Ovis aries: one gene and its partners. The protein of the gene in region 2 purifies or fractionates together with the protein of the main gene of each other region. This does not show direct contact. Links are inferred from orthologs where the notes say so. Each region holds a gene or a part of one and is shown on either strand. Other genes may lie near its edges. The genes, in order: VDAC1, RAB7A, VDAC2, ARL8B, GDI2 and PLEKHM1.

Evidence for each region.
Region 1: the proteins of RAB7A (region 2) and VDAC1 purify together in Homo sapiens (affinity purification with mass spectrometry; 3 studies listed by BioGRID and IntAct, with this or other methods). This does not show direct contact. The link is inferred for Ovis aries from reciprocal best matches to the Homo sapiens genes RAB7A and VDAC1.
Region 3: the proteins of RAB7A (region 2) and VDAC2 purify together in Homo sapiens (affinity purification with mass spectrometry; 3 studies listed by BioGRID and IntAct, with this or other methods). This does not show direct contact. The link is inferred for Ovis aries from reciprocal best matches to the Homo sapiens genes RAB7A and VDAC2.
Region 4: the proteins of RAB7A (region 2) and ARL8B purify together in Homo sapiens (affinity purification with mass spectrometry; 4 studies listed by BioGRID and IntAct, with this or other methods). This does not show direct contact. The link is inferred for Ovis aries from reciprocal best matches to the Homo sapiens genes RAB7A and ARL8B.
Region 5: the proteins of RAB7A (region 2) and GDI2 purify together in Homo sapiens (affinity purification with mass spectrometry; 3 studies listed by BioGRID and IntAct, with this or other methods). This does not show direct contact. The link is inferred for Ovis aries from reciprocal best matches to the Homo sapiens genes RAB7A and GDI2.
Region 6: the proteins of RAB7A (region 2) and PLEKHM1 purify together in Homo sapiens (affinity purification with western blotting; 5 studies listed by BioGRID and IntAct, with this or other methods). This does not show direct contact. The link is inferred for Ovis aries from reciprocal best matches to the Homo sapiens genes RAB7A and PLEKHM1.

Annotation. Positions count from the first base shown.
Region 1 is NC_056058.1:43,302,189-43,305,688, forward strand, and holds part of VDAC1 (voltage-dependent anion-selective channel protein 1), read right to left. Parts: intron 3,272-3,500; coding exon 3,044-3,271; intron 529-3,043; exon of another isoform or gene 215-528; coding exon 64-214; exon of another isoform or gene 1-63. UniProt on the Homo sapiens protein: Non-selective voltage-gated ion channel that mediates the transport of anions and cations through the mitochondrion outer membrane and plasma membrane.
Region 2 is NC_056072.1:59,079,766-59,083,265, reverse strand, and holds the end of RAB7A (ras-related protein Rab-7a), read left to right. Parts: intron 1-1,000; coding exon 1,001-1,129; intron 1,130-3,013; coding exon 3,014-3,109; downstream 3,110-3,500.
Region 3 is NC_056078.1:30,199,748-30,202,117, reverse strand, and holds the end of VDAC2 (voltage-dependent anion-selective channel protein 2), read right to left. Parts: intron 2,187-2,370; coding exon 2,129-2,186; intron 891-2,128; coding exon 799-890; 3' UTR 501-798; downstream 1-500. UniProt on the Homo sapiens protein: Non-selective voltage-gated ion channel that mediates the transport of anions and cations through the mitochondrion outer membrane and plasma membrane.
Region 4 is NC_056072.1:21,259,328-21,263,314, forward strand, and holds the start of ARL8B (ADP-ribosylation factor-like protein 8B), read right to left. Parts: upstream 2,801-3,987; coding exon 2,678-2,800; intron 1-2,677. UniProt on the Homo sapiens protein: Small GTPase which cycles between active GTP-bound and inactive GDP-bound states.
Region 5 is NC_056066.1:42,477,632-42,481,899, forward strand, and holds the start of GDI2 (rab GDP dissociation inhibitor beta), read left to right. Parts: upstream 1-1,468; coding exon 1,469-1,513; intron 1,514-4,268. UniProt on the Homo sapiens protein: GDP-dissociation inhibitor preventing the GDP to GTP exchange of most Rab proteins. By keeping these small GTPases in their inactive GDP-bound form regulates intracellular membrane trafficking.
Region 6 is NC_056064.1:44,832,698-44,836,197, forward strand, and holds part of PLEKHM1 (pleckstrin homology domain-containing family M member 1), read right to left. Parts: intron 1,017-3,500; coding exon 96-1,016; intron 1-95. UniProt on the Homo sapiens protein: Acts as a multivalent adapter protein that regulates Rab7-dependent and HOPS complex-dependent fusion events in the endolysosomal system and couples autophagic and the endocytic trafficking pathways.

The DNA of each region.
Region 1 (3,500 bases), on a different chromosome or scaffold from region 2:
GAACTCCATCAGCCCAAGGGATCAGGTGGGATCTCAGCGATGCATGATCCCACAGGTACCCACCGAGAAGCAGGCGTCAGGGTCAATCTGGTACTTGGCTGCTATTCCGAAGCGAGTGTTGCTGTTTCCTGCGGTCCAGGCCAGATTAACAGCAGTCTCCAACTTCTTGTTCACCTTCTGATAAATGGAGCCACCAAACTCTGTTCCATCATTTCTGCAAATAAGCACAGCACAGATACCAAGCAGCTTAGCAAGGGGGGCTGAGCTGGGCAAAGCCAACCAAGTCTTAACAGAGGATGGGAATGTTGTAAATGGACTGAACTGATCACAAAACAGGCACCAAATTACAAGCAGCCTGACAGGAATGGCACAGACACCAGGGCTGGGAGGGTTCACAGAAGGTAAAAGCTATCTCAGGCATCACTGGGAACATGCAAGGCAACTCAGTCAACTACTCAGGCTGCATGGGACTTGAAGTTTGCTTCCAAAATATTCTTTAAAATAAAAATGGAGACTAGGGCAATGGGATTGTGAATTCTGAGTGCTTTCTTCCTTCAGCTGCTAAAGTTATTATATTTATGAAATGCTGTATTATAAACATAGACATCAAGAACAAAGCCAGAAATGGTAAGAAAGTCCAGGCCATTCATACTCCTCAGAAGGCAGCCTATAGCCAGTGCTTAGCATCAGCTGCTGCACCCACTGCTGAGGGTGCACGGCCAGTAGGAGGAGCAGCAATTACAAAAGAACTTAACCTATAATTGAGGCTCGCTGGCCCATGCATACTGTTAAGCCATGCTGCAACACCTACAGTCTCGGTGAGCCCTGAAAAGGAGCAACCTGCCATATTATAAAATGTTTCTGTCTTTCAAAAATGGAATGAAACCCAGCAGACCAAACTGTTTCCTCTCTTCGCAGCCTCTGGGAATACCCTCTTCCCCTCCCTGACATTTTTAATATAAAAAAACAATGTCAAAGTTCTGCTCCATCATTTTGAGTGTCTCCAGTGGAAATGACACTGGAAACTGTTAAGGCAGAGCCTATATACTTTGGAATCCAGCAAAGAGCCTAGAACTCACTAACCCAAGAAAAAAATTGTTGCTGTTTCATTACAAACTCTGCTCTTCACTAATACACTCTCCTAAAGTAGATGCTCACAGAACACATTCTAAGTTCTTAAGTTCTCCCCTGAAATTTAGCCAGTCAGACACTGTGATTCCAAAAAGTATAGGAAGAGCCCAGACACCACCTGATCCATAGGGAATCTAACTTCTTCAGAAAGTCAGTATGCTATAAAACAGCAGCTTGTCAAACACAATAGATTCTGGATTGACTGGTATAACTCAAAGAGGCAAATTTTCTTGGGCTTAAATGTGTTTAAATGTTAGATTTCTCAATGCGTTCTAAAACCAGCAACACTTCCTTCCTGTACTGCACTCTTAAAACCATAGACAGAGGGAACTCGCTGTACAGAATTCATCTGTATGAAGCACACAGAATATCTGTTACACATCTGGGCCTCTGCAAGACCACGGCAACCCAAACTAGCTGTGTCAGCTGTTTCCATGCCAGTTCCAAAAATGAACCATGTCCACTTACTGAAAGCCTTGAGGCTCAGATAAGAAAAATAACTAACAGTCATTGCTCTTTCTGCTGCTGCTGCTGCTAAGTCACTTCAGTCGTGTCCGACTCTGTGCGACCCCAGAGACGGCAGCCCACCAGGCTCCCCTATCCCTGGGATTCTCCAGGCAAGAATACTGGATGGGGTTGCCATCTCCTTCTCCAATGCATAAAAGTGAAAAGTGAACGTGAAGTCGCTCAGTCGTGTCCGACTCTTAGCGGCCCCATGGACTGCAGCCTACCAGGCTCCTCCATCCATGGGATTTTCCAGGCAAGAGTACTGGAATGCCATTGCCTTCTTGTTCTTCCTAGAACTGTACAATTCCCAATTCCAAACCAAGGAAGCACTTTCTGAATCAGCCAAAATTCTCAATTAAAAAATAGTTGTATGCTTGTGATATTATTCCTATGACTTTTCTGCATGTTATCTTTTTAAAATTTACTTTTTTTTAACCTTTTTTGAGTATACACTTCTGTGAGTTTTTATAGACAAACCTGTATGGCCAGAATATAGAACAGTCCCACAATCAAACTCCCCTGTGCACCCCTTTGTATAACACCTTCCCTGTTCCCCTCTCTCAACCACTGGGCTGTCCATCTCTATAGTTTTCCTTTGATGTTTTAGTTTTAAAAGACTCACATTTTATTAATTTTTATGCTAATATACATCTTTGTTAATTTATTATAAAAAATACTCATTTTTTATTAATAGAAATGTTACTAGTTTAGACACACATACCATTTACTTGTCTGTAAATTTTAAGTCACTTCTTTAGTGACCTCTAGTGGAAAGAAAGAAATCTGGTAAAGTTGTTCCCAATTTATACCACTCATTAGTTTCTTGTATCTGCAGAGATATCACGGATGAAATTTTTGTTTCCCTTCAATCTAAATCAGTACTCTACTTCAACCCTCAAGTTTGATTACAAAGGGTCCTCTCTAACCTACCCTGTAATTTTCTCTTCCCTTCACAATACTGTCCAGTTAATAAACTTTTAAATGGACTGCCATGCAGAGAAGACAGTATTTAACTGAGACAATCATCTCCTAATTTGTCTGCCATGCCAACATTCCATTCAGTACAGCAAGCTGGTTCTCAGGCAGTATACAGAGAAAGAGAGAGGGCTACAACTCCCCACCCCCACCCTATTAACTACAATGAAAGGACCGCCAATGTCCGTAAGGCTGCAGGGAAGGGATGCTCCTGCGGACTGACATCATGCTCTTGCCACAACTGATCAGTCTTTCTATGTGCACCAGGGACAACATGTTACTGTCCACAGAATAGGAAGAACCTACATCACCTCAGGAAATGGGTGAGAAAAAAGAAAAACACTAGCAGGCCATTTGGCTCTTCTGATTCCAACAAACTCATTTCACAGTGATTAAAAATTGAGCTTAGAAAAAAATCATGAACACTTACACGTTAGTGTGAAGCTGGAACTCATCGGTCTTGTAGCCAACTGCAAAGTTGCTCTGAGTCACTCGAGATTTTGCAGTCTCAAAATTCATCTGGTAGCCAGCCAGCCAGCCTTCATAACCCAGCACCAGAGCACCCCGGATGGAAGGACCGGCTATGTCAAAATCCACATCGCAGCCCAGGTTGATATGTTCCCGCTTGTACCCTGTCTTGATTTTAGCATTTTTTTTCCTGGAGGAAAAGAAATCATATTAAAATCAGAAGTTAACTCATTTCATGACAACCACTCCAGAAATACACATTTTAAAACACTAATCCCTATTTGAATAGGGGAGTAGGAAGGCAAAGTCAGGGCCCCAGATCTCCTTAAGCAGCTGTTGCAACCTCTCTTCAACCAAAATCCAAAATAATGCAGAAATGCCACCTTAATGAAGTGAGAACACAGGCTTGTAAAAGAAAC
Region 2 (3,500 bases):
CTGGGCCGCCTGTTCTGAGGTACCCTGTGCACACGGAGGGTCTGTGCTGAGCACCTCGTGGCTCTGGGGGTGCACAGGGGCGCCATCTTCAGGCCGGCTGCCCCTGGGGACTGGGGCCCAGGAGGCCCTCTGAGACCCCCACACCACCCGCACAGCCGTGACTCGGGCTTGTGGGCGCCTCTGCTTCTGACCCTGGGGGAGGGTTCGGTTGCCATCAGCTGTCGTCCTCCCGCAGCGGGGCCCCCCCAGATCCCGCGGGGCGGGAGGTGCTTTGGGCTTTTGAGTAAAACTGCTCTGGCTTCCTTTCCAGTAGCATCTCTGGGGAGTGTAGACAGAGATGTCGGTGTAGACAGAGATGTCGTCAAGCATAGCCGAGTTTTCCTGGTGGCTCAGACGGTAAAGCGTCTGCTTACAATGCGGGAGACCCGGGTTCAATCCCTGGGTCGGGAAGGTCCTCTGGAGAAGGAAATGGCAGCCCACTCCAGTACTCTTGCCTGGAAAATCCCATGGACGGAGGAGCCTGGTAGGCTACAGCCTATGGGATTGCAGAGTCAGACACAACTGACCAGACTTCATTCACTCACTCATAGCTGAGTTTATTTTTGACCAGTCAGCTCTTTCCTAAGTGAATTGGTTCTTCTCTTGTTCCTGAAAACAGGCTCGGGTGGGGAGTCAGGAAACAGGATGTGGCTGGGTTGGGGGCTCTGGGGCCTGGGTGTGTGATCAGGCCAGGGGTCCAGGCAGGTGTGCTGAGCGGTCACAGGAGGGGCTGGAGACCTGTCCTGGGCCGGAGGGGAGGCACTTCCTCCCGAGCTGGCTGCCGCCGCCCTTCACAAGCTGCCTCCAGGTGCAGCTCGGGGTCGGAGGCTGAGAGGGGAAAGCCCCACTGTACTGAGCTTAGCTGGCGAGGGGCTGGTGGGCGGTGGCCGGCGGGGGTCCTGGGGGTTCTTCCGCTGGGATGCCTGCTCTTCCTGGCACCTGCACCCTGCCTCCCCTTCAGGTGGCCACCAAGCGGGCTCAGGCCTGGTGCTACAGCAAAAACAACATCCCCTACTTTGAGACCAGCGCCAAGGAGGCCATCAACGTGGAGCAGGCCTTCCAGACGATCGCCCGGAACGCGCTCAAGCAGGTGGGTGTCCGGGGACGGAGCCCTGGCCTGGCCGCCTTGGCCCGCACCTTCTCTCCCCACGGGCTTCCTGTGCAGCCAGAGGTGGTGGCGGGCCTTTGAGAGCGGCCCCGTCCCGCCGTCTGTAAGTCAGCTCCATGGGGGCACACATCGAGGCCACCTCGTGTGGGGCCGCCCTGCTCGGCGTGCTCCTCCTGTTTCAAGATACACTTGAGTTTGAGGCACAGCTCTGCTGCCCGTCTTGGGATCTAGTCTGGTTTTTAAATCCTGTCTGAGCTGTACAATGAGATTGCCCGCTTTCAGGGCGTTTGTGAAGATTCAGTGAGGTGCACCAACTTTGGGAATTATCCTAAACAATCCTCATAAAGGTTAACCCAAAAGGTTCTAGGAGTCATCTTCCTTAGGTAAGGTTCTCCTGCGTTTTCTTTGTGGTGTTTATTCAGATGGTCCCCCTCCCCACCACATACCAGCGGCATCCTGTTGGCCGGTGCCGGGTGAGGGCTCCTCTGACCCCACAGCAGCAGGGCAGTGCTTTCCTCCCTAAACACTCCTGCCCCTAGAGCTCGAGTCGCAGGAGGAAGACTGTCCGACTGGTAAGGGGGCCCCTGGCTGTCCCTGGGGACAGTGGTGACCCTCAGTCCCGGCACCGCGGTGGCGTCGCTGGCGCAGCGCCCATGCTCTGCAGAGGGGCCCCTGCAGCCCTTGCCCGGGCCTCGGCCGTGCGCAGAGGTGGGGCTGAGCTGTGTGTGGTGGGCCTTCTTCTCAGCCTCTCTGGCCACAGTGAAGAACCTGCCGGTGGGTGTGTATTCCGTCTGTGGAGCCCGCTCCCCCGTGTCGCGCTCTCCTTGCGCCGGGCCCCGCCTGCAGCCCACGTGCTCCCTGCACGGCCGTCCTGACCTCACGGCCTCTCCCCTCGCTAGTCGAGGCTTTTCTCTTGGCTCTGTTTGGTTCATTATCCATTTGAACTAAGACTTTCACTCCAGGTGCAACTTTTTCCTCCTCCGTCCTCTCCCCACCACCTACCCCCACAAAAAATAAACCTTCCTGAGGTTCTAACTGTGTCAGCCAGCACCGGGCCCTGGACAGTGCCCACAGGCCGCGTGGCTCAAGGACACACTTATTTCCTGTCGGTTTCGGGGCCACAGGTCCGATCTCGCTGAGGCCTCCATTAAGACAGAACGCAGATGAGCGCTGGTCAGGGCTTGGAGCAATAGGCGGGACAGGCCGCTGCTGCTGGAGCCGGCTCGCCTCCGGGGCCGGGAAGGGCCTGATGGCTTGGGCCTGTGAGCAGACCAGGCTGCAGGGGCACACGCTCAGCCCTCAGGGAGCGAGACCGCCTTAAACTACAGGCAGTCCTGGGCGTGGCCGCTTGCACAGCACTTGTGACCGGAGTGGTTTCCCCAGAGGGCCTCGACCCGCGGGTGCTCCGCGTCTAAGGCACAGGTGAATTCTCTTCCCTAGGAAGCAGGGAGCTGCCCCTCGCTGGAAACGCTAATTCAGCCCAAGTCCCCGTGAAGTGACCCCAGGCCCTGTCCTGTGGGCCCCACACTGAGGGAGTTGTCCTGGGCGGGCCTGGCATGTGCAGCCTTGGGGGCAAGCTCTCCTGAAGGCCTGGAAGAGACAACAGACCTGGGTCCAGAGAGGGGCGCGCAGGGCGAGCTCGCGGGGTCTGTGAGGCTGGGGCCCCAGACCCTGTCCTTGTCAGGCACTGGCAGAAGCTCCCAGAGCGGGCACGTGCAGGTGGAGGGCGCCAGCCTGTCCCTCTTGCCCCTGCCCCGCAGCGTCCCTCGGTGCCCGCCTGGCCCCTCCGCTGTGGGGCCCGCCCCCCTACACCGCAGGACTTGCAGCCACCCCGGGCCCGCGGTCACCGCCTCTCTCCCTGCCCAGGAAACGGAAGTGGAGCTGTACAACGAGTTCCCCGAGCCCATCAAACTGGACAAGAACGACCGCCCCAAGGCCTCGGCCGAGAGCTGCAGCTGCTGAAGAGGCAGAGAGCAGAGCACACAGCCCTCCGCGACCGAGAACACAGGTGCAGGCCTTCCTCCACGAGCCCCTCCTCCCACAGACAGTCATCTCTCGCCCAGCTGCCCGGAGAGCCCAGCACACCGCCGACCCCCGCACACGCCCCACAGACCCACCGCCCGCCCCGCGGGCTCCGCGGCAGCAGCAAGGCCGGAGGCGCACACCCGCCTGGGTGGAGTCTGCGCTGGAAGCTTCTTCCTTTCATCCACTGGAGAGAGAACTGTTTACAGTTAATCTGTGTCTAATTAGTTCTGATTTTTTTAACCGTCTTGTGGTCTTTTTACCCACCCCCTCCTGTGAAGGCCACCACGTGGGAAGGCTGGTGCCCTGCGCTCCATCACAGGCTCACACC
Region 3 (2,370 bases), on a different chromosome or scaffold from region 2:
GTATGGTGTGTATATACAACCTTCAGCACCATCCCTTCATTTCTCTTCTTCTTCACTTACTGACTTATCTTTCCTGGAGTTAATGATGATCCAATGTAATTTTATACAAATTTATAAACTGAAGATATGAAGTCATGTATCTTCTTATTTTACTGTAGTCTAAACATTTTATGGAGTTATTCTCGGGTCAGAGGACTCTGTGGCACATATTTATAAAAAGAGCAAAATAAATGCTCACTGGAAAAATAAAGTCCTAGCTAGATATCCTACCAGGAATATTTGACCCTAGCTGCCAAGTTTTTAACTCTGCAAATACTTGGAGTCACTAATAACGTATACTCATTTTATTCATAATTTGTAATGTTTCAGGATACCAAAAGTAATTCTAATGATGGTTGAATTTAACAAAAAATCTTAACCTTAAGACATCCACTGATCCAGCTCATTCAACGGCAATATTCAACATTAAAAGGAGCATAAAACAAACATGCACACAGCTGCACGGTTTTCATAAATGTCTATTTCATTATTGGTGGGGAGCGCATTTAACAGTTAAATACATTTAAATAATGTATAGGTGACTGCATGACTGCAGTATTGGTAACTAGATAGACAACCAATTCAACTAGAAACCAGCTAACAAGTAACTGTCTAAATATTTAAAATACAGCTCTTGTTTAGATCATCCTTTGTTTTGATCACCTTCAGGGGGTGCGGGGGGAAGCCTGCTGGTCACACTGGAAATATATTAAGGCCAAATCTTCTGATACCCATTTCCAGAGGTTTCTTTCAGCTGAATTAAGCCTCCAATTCCAGGGCAAGCCCAAGTTTGTGGCCTCCAGCATTAATGCTCTTCCCATCTACCAGGGCAGACAGTGTAAGCTTCACACCTATAAACAAAAGCAGACAACCATCATGTACCTGCAAGACCTCATGGGACCCAGCAGTCACCTCACAGCCTGTCACTTTTTCTCAGCTTGCCAGATGACCTATAGTGCCAGCCACCAGAGGGCACTTGGGAGTACCTGAGAGACCAGGCAATTCATTTGGCACGATCCTGAGCAAGGAAAGCATCAAGTCACAGAGCATAAAAATGTTAATGAAGCTCAAACAGGAAAAAAAAAACAAACTCAAAATAGCTCTAGAAAATACAATCATGTTCAGTGCACTATCCAGACTAAAAGACAATGTGGACCCCAGGAAAGGAAAAGCTACAAGCAAGACACATTTTGGGACAAGTAGGGACATCTGCATATCGACCATGTATTAGGTATTATTTTAAACTGTTCATTTCTTTAGCTGTGAAAACAGTACTGTAGTTATGATGCCTTTAAAGTGATGCAGTTAAAAATGTTTTACTCTCATATGTATGCTAGGGCTGATGTGTCTGTATGTTTGCAAAATATACATTTAATTTGTAAGAATATGTGGGTAAAAAAAAGAGAAAAGGATTATGTATACAGACAAGGAGGGAGAAAACAAACACGGTAAATGTTAGTAACTGGCCACTGTAGGGAAGATTGAGTGTTCAAGGCACCATTCTTTTCTTCAGGTTTCAGAATAGTCGAAGTATGGGGAAAAGGTTCCAAGTGCTTCTGAACCTTGCTATTCAAATGCTGGTTCAAGAGCCAGTGACACTGGCATCACCTAAGAGCTTGTCAGAAAGACAGAACGCCATACCCCAGATCTATGTACTCTAATAAGATTCCCAAAGTGATTCAGGCACCCTTGTATTAGAGAAGTACTGCTCTGGAAAACAAGCAAGGCTCAAATTATTACGTAAAGTAAATGAGACTCTAGAGATCAAACAACCAAAGCAATGAGTGAACAATGACTGGAGAAATAAAAATTACTACAAGACATTTCAGGCACAAGTGAAAAAAGTAAATAACCAGTCTTGTGCCTATGAAGGACAATGTTTGCATACTAAACCATTTAGGGAAATGTCATCATAGCTACAACTTCCAAATAGCCCAGCATTAAAAAAAATAAAAATAAAATTGTAGCAAAAGGTAAACATGTGTTCATTGTACTTTTGTCAATTCTTCTGTTTTGAAAGGTTTACAAAATAAGTTGAGAAATGAAAACTGATTTTGAAAATACTATCAGAACAACCCTTAAAACTTACCAGGCCTCAGAGTCTGAGTATAGCCCACTCCAATTAAACTAGAGTTGTTGACTTTTGCCTAAGATAAAATGCAAAAACACATGTAAGACAAATCTTTGAATGGAGAGACAAGGCCCATTTCTCTATCATGCAATCATGACATGCTCACTTTTCCATGTGAGGTAGTAAAATTTAATATTGTATTAAGTTAAGCAAAAACCTTTTCATACTGTTCAAGGCAAGAATACTGAAGCGGTTTGCCA
Region 4 (3,987 bases), about 38 Mb from region 2:
CTAACAGAACCCAGTCACGTTATGGTCTTTTCCTGGTGGCTCAGATGGTAAAGAATCAGTCCGCAGTGTGGGAGACCAGGGTTTGATCCCTGGGTTGGGAAGATCCCCTGGAGAAGGGAATGGCTACCACTCCAGTATTCTTGCCTGGAGAATTCCATGGAAAGAGGAACCTGGCAGGCTACAGCCCATGGGATCGCAGAGAGTCAGACACGACTGAGTGACTAAGACTGCATCTGCAACCCACATTGTATCATTCAGAAAGAAGAGTCTAGGTAATTCCCAGGCAGTCCAGTGGTTAGGATGCAGAGCTCTCACTGCCAAGGGTCAGGGTTCAATCCCTGGTCAGGGAACTAAGATCCTCCAAGCTGCACAGCTTGCCCAGAACGAAACAAAAATAGGAGTCTAACGTTAAAATAATAGTTCACTTTGAGTTCAACAGCTTTCCAGATGTTAACAGATGGGGGGAGAGGGAGGACATGCTGTGATTACTTGTCATGATCTATGAATCCACTACAGCAGTCCATATTTGAATACCTACACAAATGCAAAGGAATGACCCCAACTAATTCCCTTCTAAATATTTTTCAAAATACCATTTCTGCATTAAATGACTGTACCCACTACAAATAATACAACACTTACCATTTATCTAGCCCCTTCTATGGGCAGGCATGATGCTAATCACTTAACATCTGTCATTTCATGCACTCGCAGCAACTCTGTAAGAAACCTATTATTAACTCCTCTTAATAGATGGGAAAGCAAGGACTGAAAGAGGATACAAGGCTGCTAAGTGGCAGAGCCAGATTGCAAATCCAGGGCTGTTTGACTTCAAAGTTCATGTTCATTATGTCAAGCTAAACTGTCTACTAAACACACAAGCATGAAAATCGAGCTTATGGTTCCAGGAGTTCCTCAAGATTTACTAAAATCTTTTTAGGTTTCCCAACCATAACTACTTCTCTGTAACAAATACAACTGATTGTAGTAATAAACCTACAAAACACTATAATTAAGTCTTCTCAAAAAGAGAGGATTTAGGAAGAGACACCAATTCTTATCCCAAAACAGTATCAGAAAATTTACAATTAAATGATCTCAGCTTATCTTTTCCACATCATACAAGGAGTTCAAATATGAATACTCCGCCAAAGCCTGAAGTTTTTTCTTACTAATTTTAGTGGTATTAGATATCCATTCCACTCTTTTAGGCCTGTTGAAAAGTCATCTCAAGCCTCCGGCCCAATAACATTACAAGAGCCAAACAAGCAGGCAAGTTTTCCTTATGCTTATATGCAATATTCCTCAAAGGAAGTTTGGATGTCTGCTCATCTCTACTTCTCCTTCCTGTTGCTCTATCACTGCAAGGACTAACAGTCACAAGTTACACAAGTTGTGTTCTCCAACAAGACAGGCGTGTTTGAATCATTCCAGTAACCAAACCAGTTGGACAGCGAGTCGCCAATAAAATAGGATTTCACCCATCATCTAAACGGTGGAGAAACTGCTGCCATCTCTCTCAAATAGCTCAAAAGTTCATCCCTGACAAGCTCAAGACTGAGTCACAGCAACTCCTGGGCTCTAAATGAAGACTGACGAGAATCGTTCACTCTTATTCCCTCCCCTGCCAACCAAACGAGCAAAATTTAATTATCCTCCTTCCCTCAATCACCGATGAATAAACACCACACTCTATATAGGTTCCCAGGGCAATTTCTTTCCCTCCCAGAAACTCATTCCTTGGGCGTGGAATGAGCTACGTTTCTACCCAGTCCCTTCCTTTCTCTGTCTGTAAGAAAAACCATTACATTAGACCAACACCTCTTTTCCAACTTTATGCTGACTGCAAATCTTATCCCCTAGACGAGGGCTCTAGAAATAGAGACCCCACCCACCCAACTTCTTGGCTTAGTAAAAGCTGTGCACTTGTAAATCAACTATACTTCAAATAAACAAATTAATTTAAAAAATAAAAGCCGTGCACTATTATGGACTGGCAGGAAATGCCTGTCTTTAGCTTTACCGGCGATCGCAGCACCGTCTATTCGGCCCCTCGGGGAACGGGTGAGAAAACCGATTAACTGGATTACACGGGACAAGCTGCCCACAGAATTGAGGGATGAGCCCACACTGGCCCCTGCTTTCCTCACAACGGTGCTCTCCATCCCGAGTGGCCAGTTGAGACAATCTCAATTATTTTAGGCTTTCTCACGGGACACACGGACTCGCCAAATTCCACCCCTCGGGAAACTGACAAGCTAAAGTTAACCCCTGCGCGGCCAGCAAAGATCAAACCCGAAGGAAATCCCAGACCACCACCACCACCACCAAGAGCCTTAAAAATGTGACAAGGCCAATTACACCCTTTCCAAACCCCGGCTGCGACGAGGACACGGGGACACGGCGCTTGGAAGAAGACGACTAAATGGAAATAACCCTTCAACTACCGACCGCGCCGATACACCAGCCACCAACACGAGGGAAACTCCAGGTCCTGACGCCCGGGTAGGCGAAGAGCACGGCTGCCCCCTCCCTCGACACGCACACTCCCAAGAGCCCCGCCGCGCCGAGGGGACCCCCCCCCCAACCCCGCCACCACCAGCCTGGCCTTCGAGCAGAAGCCGGGCCGGACTCGCGGGCTGCGGCGCCCCGGGAGGGTAATCGGGAGGGCACTCACCGCGATGACATTGACGAAGGTGGTCTTGCCCGAGTACTGCAGCCCCACGAGCGTCAGCTCCATCTCCTCCTTCCAGAAGAGCGAGCGGAACCAGTCCAGCAGGCGGGAGATGAGCGCCAGCATGATGGCGGCCGGGAGGGAGGACGGACGGACGGGCGAGCGAGCGGGCAGCGGCGGCGGCGACGACCTCCACACGAGCGGGCCTCGGCCCGGACCCCCCCAACGGCTCCTCGGGGCCCCGGCGCGACACAGGCGGACACAGGCGGGCGACGGCGGCCGGAGCCAGGAAGCCGAGCGGGTCATATGACTCGCCCTACCCCCCACGCTCGTCCCCGCGCCGCCGCCGGCGCCCACGGCAAGAGCGGCAAGGCCTGTCCGGCCAGGCGCGCCCGCCGCCTGCAGCGCCACCTGGTGGAGCCTCCGTGCAGCACCGTGCACCGGCGTGCCGCCCTTGGGCTCCTTTCCTACTATAGTCCTTGGCTCATTCCTGTTGATCCATTCATCATTCATTTTCTCTACAATTGTTTACTGACTGTCAGCTCAGTGCAGAAAGACTTCAAAACTCTGGGGGTTTCATCATGAAAATCCCTGTCCTACGTAACAAAAGATGGAAGCCACACGGGCTTATCAGTAGGGGAGTGATTAAACTTTAGCAGATTCCCAAAACTGAATACTGTTTTTCAAAAGATGAGAAAGTTTTCTGTAAACTGATATGTAATGATGTCCAGGAAGTATTTTCAAGGTACATAAACTAAGGCACCAACTATGCATTATATGATATTTTCGGTATAATATGGGAAAACAAGAATACATATGTACATATATAAAACACATATTATGGTTGCAGAAAGAAATACTGGAAGACTAATAAAAACAGTTTTCTATTGGGATGAGGTAAACTGGACGGTCAAAGGCAGAAATGGGAATGAGACTTCACTGAATATCTTTTTATATCATTTTCACTTAAATCATCCAAGTGAGTCGCCCGTTGAAAAGTTTAATTTAATTAAAAGGTACGGTTTTCCGATTTTAGAAAACCCTCCCTCTGAGGAGCTTACCTTCCACAGAGGGAGAAGAACAGGGAGTGGCGCCTGTTCTAGTCAGACTAGACCTCTCGGAGGAGGCAGCCCTGGCTGTGATGACCTAGAGGCCATGAGAAGGAGGGCCAGGCACTCGTCCGGAGGAAGCGCGTTCCAGACAGAAAGAACAGCAGACTCTGAAGCGGAAAGGTGTTCAGAATGCTCTAGGAACAGAATTCAGCGCTGTCACCTCAGATTAATAAGACAGGGAGTGGGAGGAGAGATGGATGG
Region 5 (4,268 bases), on a different chromosome or scaffold from region 2:
TCAAGATTCACTTTAGACAGCTCTTATTTGAGAATAAATCTTCAAGGAAACACCAACTCTTTTGTCTGCATGAAAGTCAAAGTGAAGTCGCTCAGTCGTGTCCGACTCTTTGCGACCCCACGGACTGCAGCCTGTCAGGCTCTTCCCTTCTCCAGGGGACCTTCCCGACCCAGGAATCGAACCCGAGTCTCCCTCATTGCAGGCAGACGCTTTACCGTGGGAGCCATCAGGGAAGCCCTTTGTCTGCATACTCAGGCTGAAAACACTGGATCTGCTCTCTTCGGTTGAGAACATAAGCCACCAGGGCTGGAGATGCCAAATAGAAACCAGAAGAAATGTGTGTTTGCAGGGCTGGGCCGGCTCGGATATGAAAGGCAAAAAACAGGGAATCTTTTTTTTTCCCTACACTCTGTGGCCTAAATCCATTCACGTGCTGGTCAGCTATCTTTACAGCTGGTTTAGATTATAGCTCTCAGTAGGCGCAGACCTGCTTCCGATCAAATCTGCCCTTCCCCTTTATGCTAAAGTTCCCTTTTCAAAAGTAGAGTTTTTTTTTTTTTTTTTTTAAATTCTTATTTCCTAAGGCTGCACATGGGGCAATGCATCAAGCAAGAATAACATTGGGAGGGAAGTTAAGAAAAAAAAAAAAGTGATTTCTGAACTCCTTAAAATTCATTAGGTCCTTTTTCCTTCAGGAAATGGAGGTAGGATAAAAAGAAAAGCAAGACAAGTTGCAGAGGACCAGCTAGGCGCGCAGAGGGCCGAGCCGCAGCCGGAGTCGGGCCGCATGGCGTCAGCTCCTGGTGTGCCGGGCTGCGGGAGGCCGCCCGCGGTCCTGGGGGCTGGGGAGGCCAGCCCCAGCCACGTGGTCGCCGCGGGCCCAAAGTCCAAGGGCAGCTGCGGGCGCGGGGCCCAGAGTGCGCCCCGCCGCCCGATGGGGAGCGGGAGTGAAGAACCGGACAGGGGTCCCCCGGCCACAAGCTCAACCCCGCCCCCGCCCTCGAAGGCCCGCGCGCTACTGCCCCCTCCGCCCCCAATCAAGGCGACCGCGCTTTGGGAACGGATCCGAAATCCACCAGGGGCTCGGCCCGCCCTTTTCTCGCGAGACGTGGGAGAGGAAGCGGGTCGTGGGCGACGGAGACGTAGCCAATGAGCGAGCGGGAAGGGCGTGATCGACGGCTTCCTCCCGGCCTCGCCCCGGCTGCGGAGGCCGCGGTCGCAGCCCGCCTCTCTCTCCCTCGCCTCCTTCCCTACCCTCCCCGCCCCGTTCTTCTCTTCCCGTCTGAGGTGGCGGTCGGCTCCCCGCTCGCCAGCTCCGTGTAGTCTCTGCCTCCGCTTCCCTTTTCCCTCAGGCCCCGTCCGGCCTGAGCGCTCGCTCCCTGGTCAGCCTTCTTCTCGGGGCAGCCGCAGCCCCAGACCCCTAGAGTTCTGAGCCTTCTCTGGGTCTCTGTCCGCGCCCGGCCCCGCCATGAATGAAGAGTACGACGTGATCGTGCTGGGCACTGGCCTGACGGTGAGGAGGGGCGGCGGCCCGGGGCCGGGAGGGGGCCGGCCGCACGCCCTGCTCAGCCCCATCTTCCCCGCCCCCCGCTCCGCGATGCCGGGGGTCTCTTCCCGGGGGGGGTCCCTCCGGGCGGGCCGTATCTGCAGCGGGGCCTGCGGGGAAGGGACACCGCGGTGTGCAAAAGCCTGGCCCGGACAGGTGCCTGGACGGGTTGGGGCGGCCGAGCAAGGGTCTCGGGAATGCAAGGCCGAGAAAGCCCGGGTTGCGGCGTCGCTGCGCCTCCCTTGCTGGTCGAGGGCCTCTCGCGCCTGGAGACGGAAAGGAGTGGGGGAGGGTGAAGCCTAGCCCAGTGGCGTTTCCTCCGCAGCTTCCAGGCCCCGCTGCTAGTCAGTTTCGGTGACCAGTCACAGGTAATCGCTGTTGGGTTGGTAATTCAGGCCAGTGAACTTACTTTTTTTTTTTTTTTTTTTGAGAAAACTGGTTTTCTTAGCCTCCTCCCCCACCCCAGGTGAGAAGCATTGTCCATTCCTGTGTAACCACCCTCCCAATCTCAGTTGAACGACCATGGGATTGGAAATGAGTTTTTCTCCAAATGGGTCTCACCTGGCCTTCGCCAGCCTTATGTATGATCTGTCCTTGCCCACCTCGACGCTGCTGAACCTTTTCCCCTGAGAAAAGGAATTGATGATGAGTTGGTTGGTTGCTAGAGGCCAGGTGTTCCTGTCACCGGGGTAAATGTATTTTCCTAGCTGTCTGCTCAGAGGACTTCAGGTAATATTCCGCAGATAACGCAGGCAGGAGTTGTACTTTTCTGTGGTTTTTAAAAGAAAATGAAGACAGCTCATCTTGCAAAATAATTCCATTTGAAGATAGGACCGTCTCCATTTATCAAGATTTTTGGAAATTTGGAATTCTGACATGGGGCTGGCTGCTTCGTTTTAGAAGATGAACCCTGATTTTGATCTTGTGTTCCATATGAACTGATCTCAAAATCCTGAGTCATTTGATGTAAATGTGTTGAAATGCATTGTAATCTCTCAAGATTTAAAAATTTTTTTCAGGTAGCATTCCAGAACTATTTTAGATTTCTCTGGACAAGAGAAAACTGTGAAACTTGCATTTGGCTAATATTCTTAGGAAAAAATTGTTGGAAACTTACAGTGATAGTTTGCTGGCATGTTATTTTCTGTTTGTGGTGATTTATGATGATTGTTGGGTAATAGGCATTTCTGAATGCTTTACTATGTTTGACCAGTCCAGAAAAAGACGGGACTGGCTGGGAAATTGTACAAAATAGATGAGAGTGATGGAATGTGAGATATTGGGTTAAATTTCTTTGGTGAGCTGTTGGATGCCTAAATGAGTAGGCCTACCCACTGCAGGGTTTTTTTTTCTCTTTCCATTTCCGAAGTGCTTAATTGGGATTCTGAGCTGAGCTTAGTAGTTTAGTTTGCCCGTTGGAATGGGCACTGTTGCTACCAGCCTTTTGTTAGAGCCAGTTAGTTCCACTGTGTTTCTACCGTTATTGCTGGTCTTTCAGATTTGCTCTTGATTAGGTCAGTTAAACATGGACAAATGAGTGCAAATCCTTCCTTACACAGGTTTGTTCCCCCCCCCCCCTTTCCTTTTTTCTTCCCTCATGCTGGTTTCTACATGCCTAGCTCAGAAGGATCACTTTGTATCAAAGCGGGCAGTCTTAACTGTATAACAACCAAGTTGCACCTTATTTACATTTTCATTTGGATTAATTGTGACCTTTTTGGTGAATGGTAGGTGCATACTTAGAAATCAGAGCAATTTCTGCTGTCGTTTGTATAGCTGTGATAACTGTTTCCTGTGAACCTTCCTAGAGTGGTGTTATGAGATATTCTTTAAATTATATCAATTCAGAGCAATCATATTACTGTTGTATTACAGTTGTTGGTAGTAGTGATGATGGGATGATTTTAATAATGATAAATCTTTTACCCTCATTTTTATTGATAGGAGAACTTCGATTACTTGAGACCACCAACGTTAAAAACGCTCAATTTATAATTTGAGTATTTGGTGTGAACATACCATTTACTTAATTTTTGACTTAGAAATATTTAGTGCCTGAGATTTAAGAACCTGAAAACAGGCATATGTTATCACGTATGGATACCAAATGTTATGTGATTCTTGTGTGTCAATTACTTTAAGTGCAATTAACTTGTTATTTTTAAAATGTAAGGAAGTTTTGGGATTTCTCTGTGTTTTCTAATGTGGCCATTGTTTTTTATGGATTATTATGTCTAAAATAGTCATATTAGTGCACCAATATTAATAGTAACTTTAAAGGAGGATTAAAATAGTTTGCTGTAAACTAGAGCAAAATATTCATTCTGTCTATAAGAAGTGCAGTGTTCTATATAGTTGAATATTTTAAGGAACTGATGGCTTTCCCTTTAAAGACCCATAACTTTATTTTCTTGAGGTATAGTAAGTGAGGAATGTATTTGTAAATGTTCTGAATCATAGAAGTGCCTTTTCAGAACCAGAGTCCGTAAAACATAGTTGGGAAGTACCACTTTCCCCAGGCAGCCGAAGCAGTTTAAAGACAGCACTGTTGAAAAGTTGAATTGATCTGGGGATTAAAGATTAATTAAAAGAACCATAATTTTTAGAAAAAAGCTTTCAAATGATACCACAGCTTCCTTAACAGACTAAGGAATGTAGTGAACACCTGATAACAAGATTTCACAAAGGGAGGGTTAATTACTGAGTACTGCTGTAACACAGT
Region 6 (3,500 bases), on a different chromosome or scaffold from region 2:
TATGGGGGCGCCTGCGGGGAGCAGGAAGGAGTGCAGAGCCTAGAGCAGGAACCCCAGTGCGGGCAGGCTGGAGGTGGGGGACAGGGAGTCAGCACCTGCACAGAAGCAGCCCTGGGAGTCGAGGCCTTTCTCTGTGGGGATGGCCACCAGGTACTGCAGCAGGAAGCCGTTCTCCCGCGTGGCGAACTTCAGCACCTCCTGACAGCTTTCATCCAGACTGCCGCCCAGGGTCACTGCCTCCTCGGCCGTCTCCAGGTAGGACGCCAGGACCTTGCGTAGCACGTCCCTCCACAGGGCAGCCTCCTCGGCATTCCCGGCTTGCAGCTTCAGGATGGCCTTGGCCGTAATGATTTTGAAGAAGGCTGGGCCCCCGAGACTCGTGTCCGGCAGGATATCTCGGATGGTCTCGACTCCATGGCTGTCACTTAACATCTTCTCGTTGTTCCTCACGCGGAAGCACTTGAGGGACTCCAAGGACAGGGAAAAGATGTAGGGCATCCATGTGCGGTCCGTGTACAGATAGAGAAGGGACTCTTTGATGGCGTCAGGCTCAGGCACCTGGGAGAAGGACCAGTTGAACTGCAGCCCCTGGGGGGTTTCAGCCTCTGTGTGCAGGTCCGAGGGGGCGGCACAGCCACCCTGGGAGGCCTCTGGAGGGTCTTCGGGCTGCTCCGGGTACTGGATGGTCACCCACTCCTCCTCCTGCAGGGGCCGGCACTTCTGCAGCGCCTCGCGCACCCGGTCCAGCCAGTCCTCGGCTTCATCCCGGGACGAGGCGCGCAGGGTCAGCTTCTTGCCGGAGAAGAGCAGCTCGAAGCGGCCGTCACTGTGGGCCGGCCCCACAGACTCGCAGCGCAGCAGTGAGCAGGTGTCCACGCAGGTGCGCTCCTTGCCACTCAGGTAGAGGCGCAACTCCAGCGGGGAGAGCTCGCAGAAGAGTTCCTTCCAGATGCCCATGGCCCCCCGCCGCTCCACCGTGCCCAGCTTCAGGAGCCCCCGGAATGGGTTGGACAGCCCTGCAGGCAGAAAGAGGCACTTTAGATGATAGGCCTGGCCCTTCGTCACCCTGGATAATCTCCGGGGCCTGAGTCCTGTCCTGGGTGTGGACTCCGTGACCACCTGGAGAACACAGGCCACCGCCGGCTGGATGGGAACGTATTTTGAGAGCCTCCCTCCCACCCTTGCCCCAGCTGATAACTGTGCTCTTGAATTTCACTGAGAAAATAAAAGCACGTCAACAATCACCTCCATGAGCGCTTCACTACACCCTCCCCTTCCAGCATCTGCAGCCACACTCTGAGCCCCGTCGCTGGGGATGAACTGACTGTGCTTCTGTCTGAGGCCACCCTCCCATCTGTGCAATTGCGCAGGGGTCCCCCCCTCCACCACCCCGCCTGATCAAGGACAAGGACGTCTCTCCAGCAATCTTTTCTGCCCCTCCTGCGTCACTGTCTTCTCCCTCTCTCTTGGATCATTCCCACCAGCCCACAAACACGCTGTTATTTCTCCCAGCATTAAAAATATCTCTCGACTCTACTCACATCTCTAATTACCACCCTGGGTCTCTGTCCCCTTTACAGAAACCCCCCTGAGGAGGTGTGGGAATGTCTCTGGGACCCACTCCTTCTGTTCTTTCTTGAACCTCCTCCGAGCAGCCTTCTGTCCCGAGTCCACAGAACCTGCCCTTGGGAAGGCTACCAGGCCCTCCTGTTGCCAAGTCCAAAGCCTAGTCGTTGGTCCCCATCTGGCCTGGCCCATCAGCATCACTGTACACAGCAGAGCCCCCCTTTCCTGGGGTCTTCTCTGCTGTCACTGGCCCCCCTCTCCTGTCTCCCTGATGCTCTCTCCTCTCACTGGCCTCTTCATGGAGGCCCTGGGCTCGGCCCTGGTTCTCTTCTCTACTAATACCCACTTTTCCTAGCTGATCTTCCCTGGTCTTGGAGCTTTATGCCAACAACTTCTCAGTTTTTATCTCCAGCCTGGACCTCACCCTTGAGCTTTAGATTCCGATCTCCATCTGCTCCGTGTATGTCTAATAGGCTTCTCAAAGTTGACACGTCCAAAACTGTGTTCCTGATTCTCCCACTCCAAACCCACTTTCCTCCTGATGTTCTTCATCTAGTAAAATGGCAAACTTCATCCTCCCAGATGCTTGGGCTAAAAACTTTGGAGCTATCCTTGATTTTTTTTTTTCCCTTTCACACCCCACATCTAATCTATCAGCAAATCCTCTTGGTATATCTAGAGCCTTCCTCCACTTCTCACCTCCTCCAACACTACCACAGGGGATTGGTTCACCATCATTCCTGGCCAGGCTTATGGCTGTGGCCTCCTGACTGGTCTATGTCCCCCTGAAGCGCCTCAAGAAATGAGCCAGGATGATTGCCCCGGAGAGTCCCCCAAATCAGATCGCGTCTCTCTCAGAGCAAAAGCCAACGTCCTTCCTGTGGCCCATGAGGCCCCGCATCACTCTGACCTCACCTCTAGCCACCCCCTTCCCATCTCCTCTGTTCCAGCTACTCTGGTCTCTGCTGCTTACTGGACACATCAAGCATGTTTCTGTTGCAGGGCCTTCGCACACGTTCTCCCTGCTTAAAATACGATCGCCTCATGCCTCTCTCCCCACCTTTCAAGCCACCTCACATGTCACCTAATTTGTGAGGGCTTCCTTGGCCAGCCTTTACTCATTTATTTACTTTCTGGCCGTGCCGTGCAGCTTGCAGGATCTTCATTCCCCACACAGGGACTGAACGTGGGCCCCAGCAGTGAAAGTGTGGACTCCTAACCATTGGACCATGAGGGGAGTCCCTGGCTGTCCTTAATGGTACCCTGCCCACCTCCCGTTTACTATTCCCCACAGGAATGATCACCCGCCCCGACTATATGTTGACTTGTTCATCTGCTTATTTCCTGTCTCTCACGCTAGAATACAACTCCCATGAAGATAAGGACCTGGCTTGGTTTCCTGTTGTGTCCCCAGCACCTAGAATAGTACCTGGCACATCGCAGGTGCCCAATAAATCTGTTGAGTAGGGAGTGTGTGTACTACACACAGCCCAAGGCTCCCTGATCTTCCTCGGGGGGGGGGGGGGGGAAGGGGCTAGCCTTCTTCCTGAAAAAAGGGGGTCCAAAGGACACACAATTCTCTCTCCCAGCTTGGACCAGCCTTAGAGATTTCAAACCACTGTGTAGGGCCTTCCTATCCTCCCGGGTACCTGATGACGCAGGCATAAAGCACACCTTCTCTGGTATGGTTGTAACCATTACATGGGCTGAAAGAAAAACCTAAGAGGACGTGGCATGGAAACCAGGGCTGTGCCAGACATAAAAATTAGGTTGTGGTTATTTAATGCTTTATGGAATTTCGTAGGGTGTGGAGGTCAAGCTGGCCTCCTTGTGAACTGCACACAGAGAACACTGAACAAACTGCACATCTGATAAACCCCACCAGAGCTGCTAAATAAACCATCTGAGAGAAGGGCCTTAGGGAGGAGCAGTTG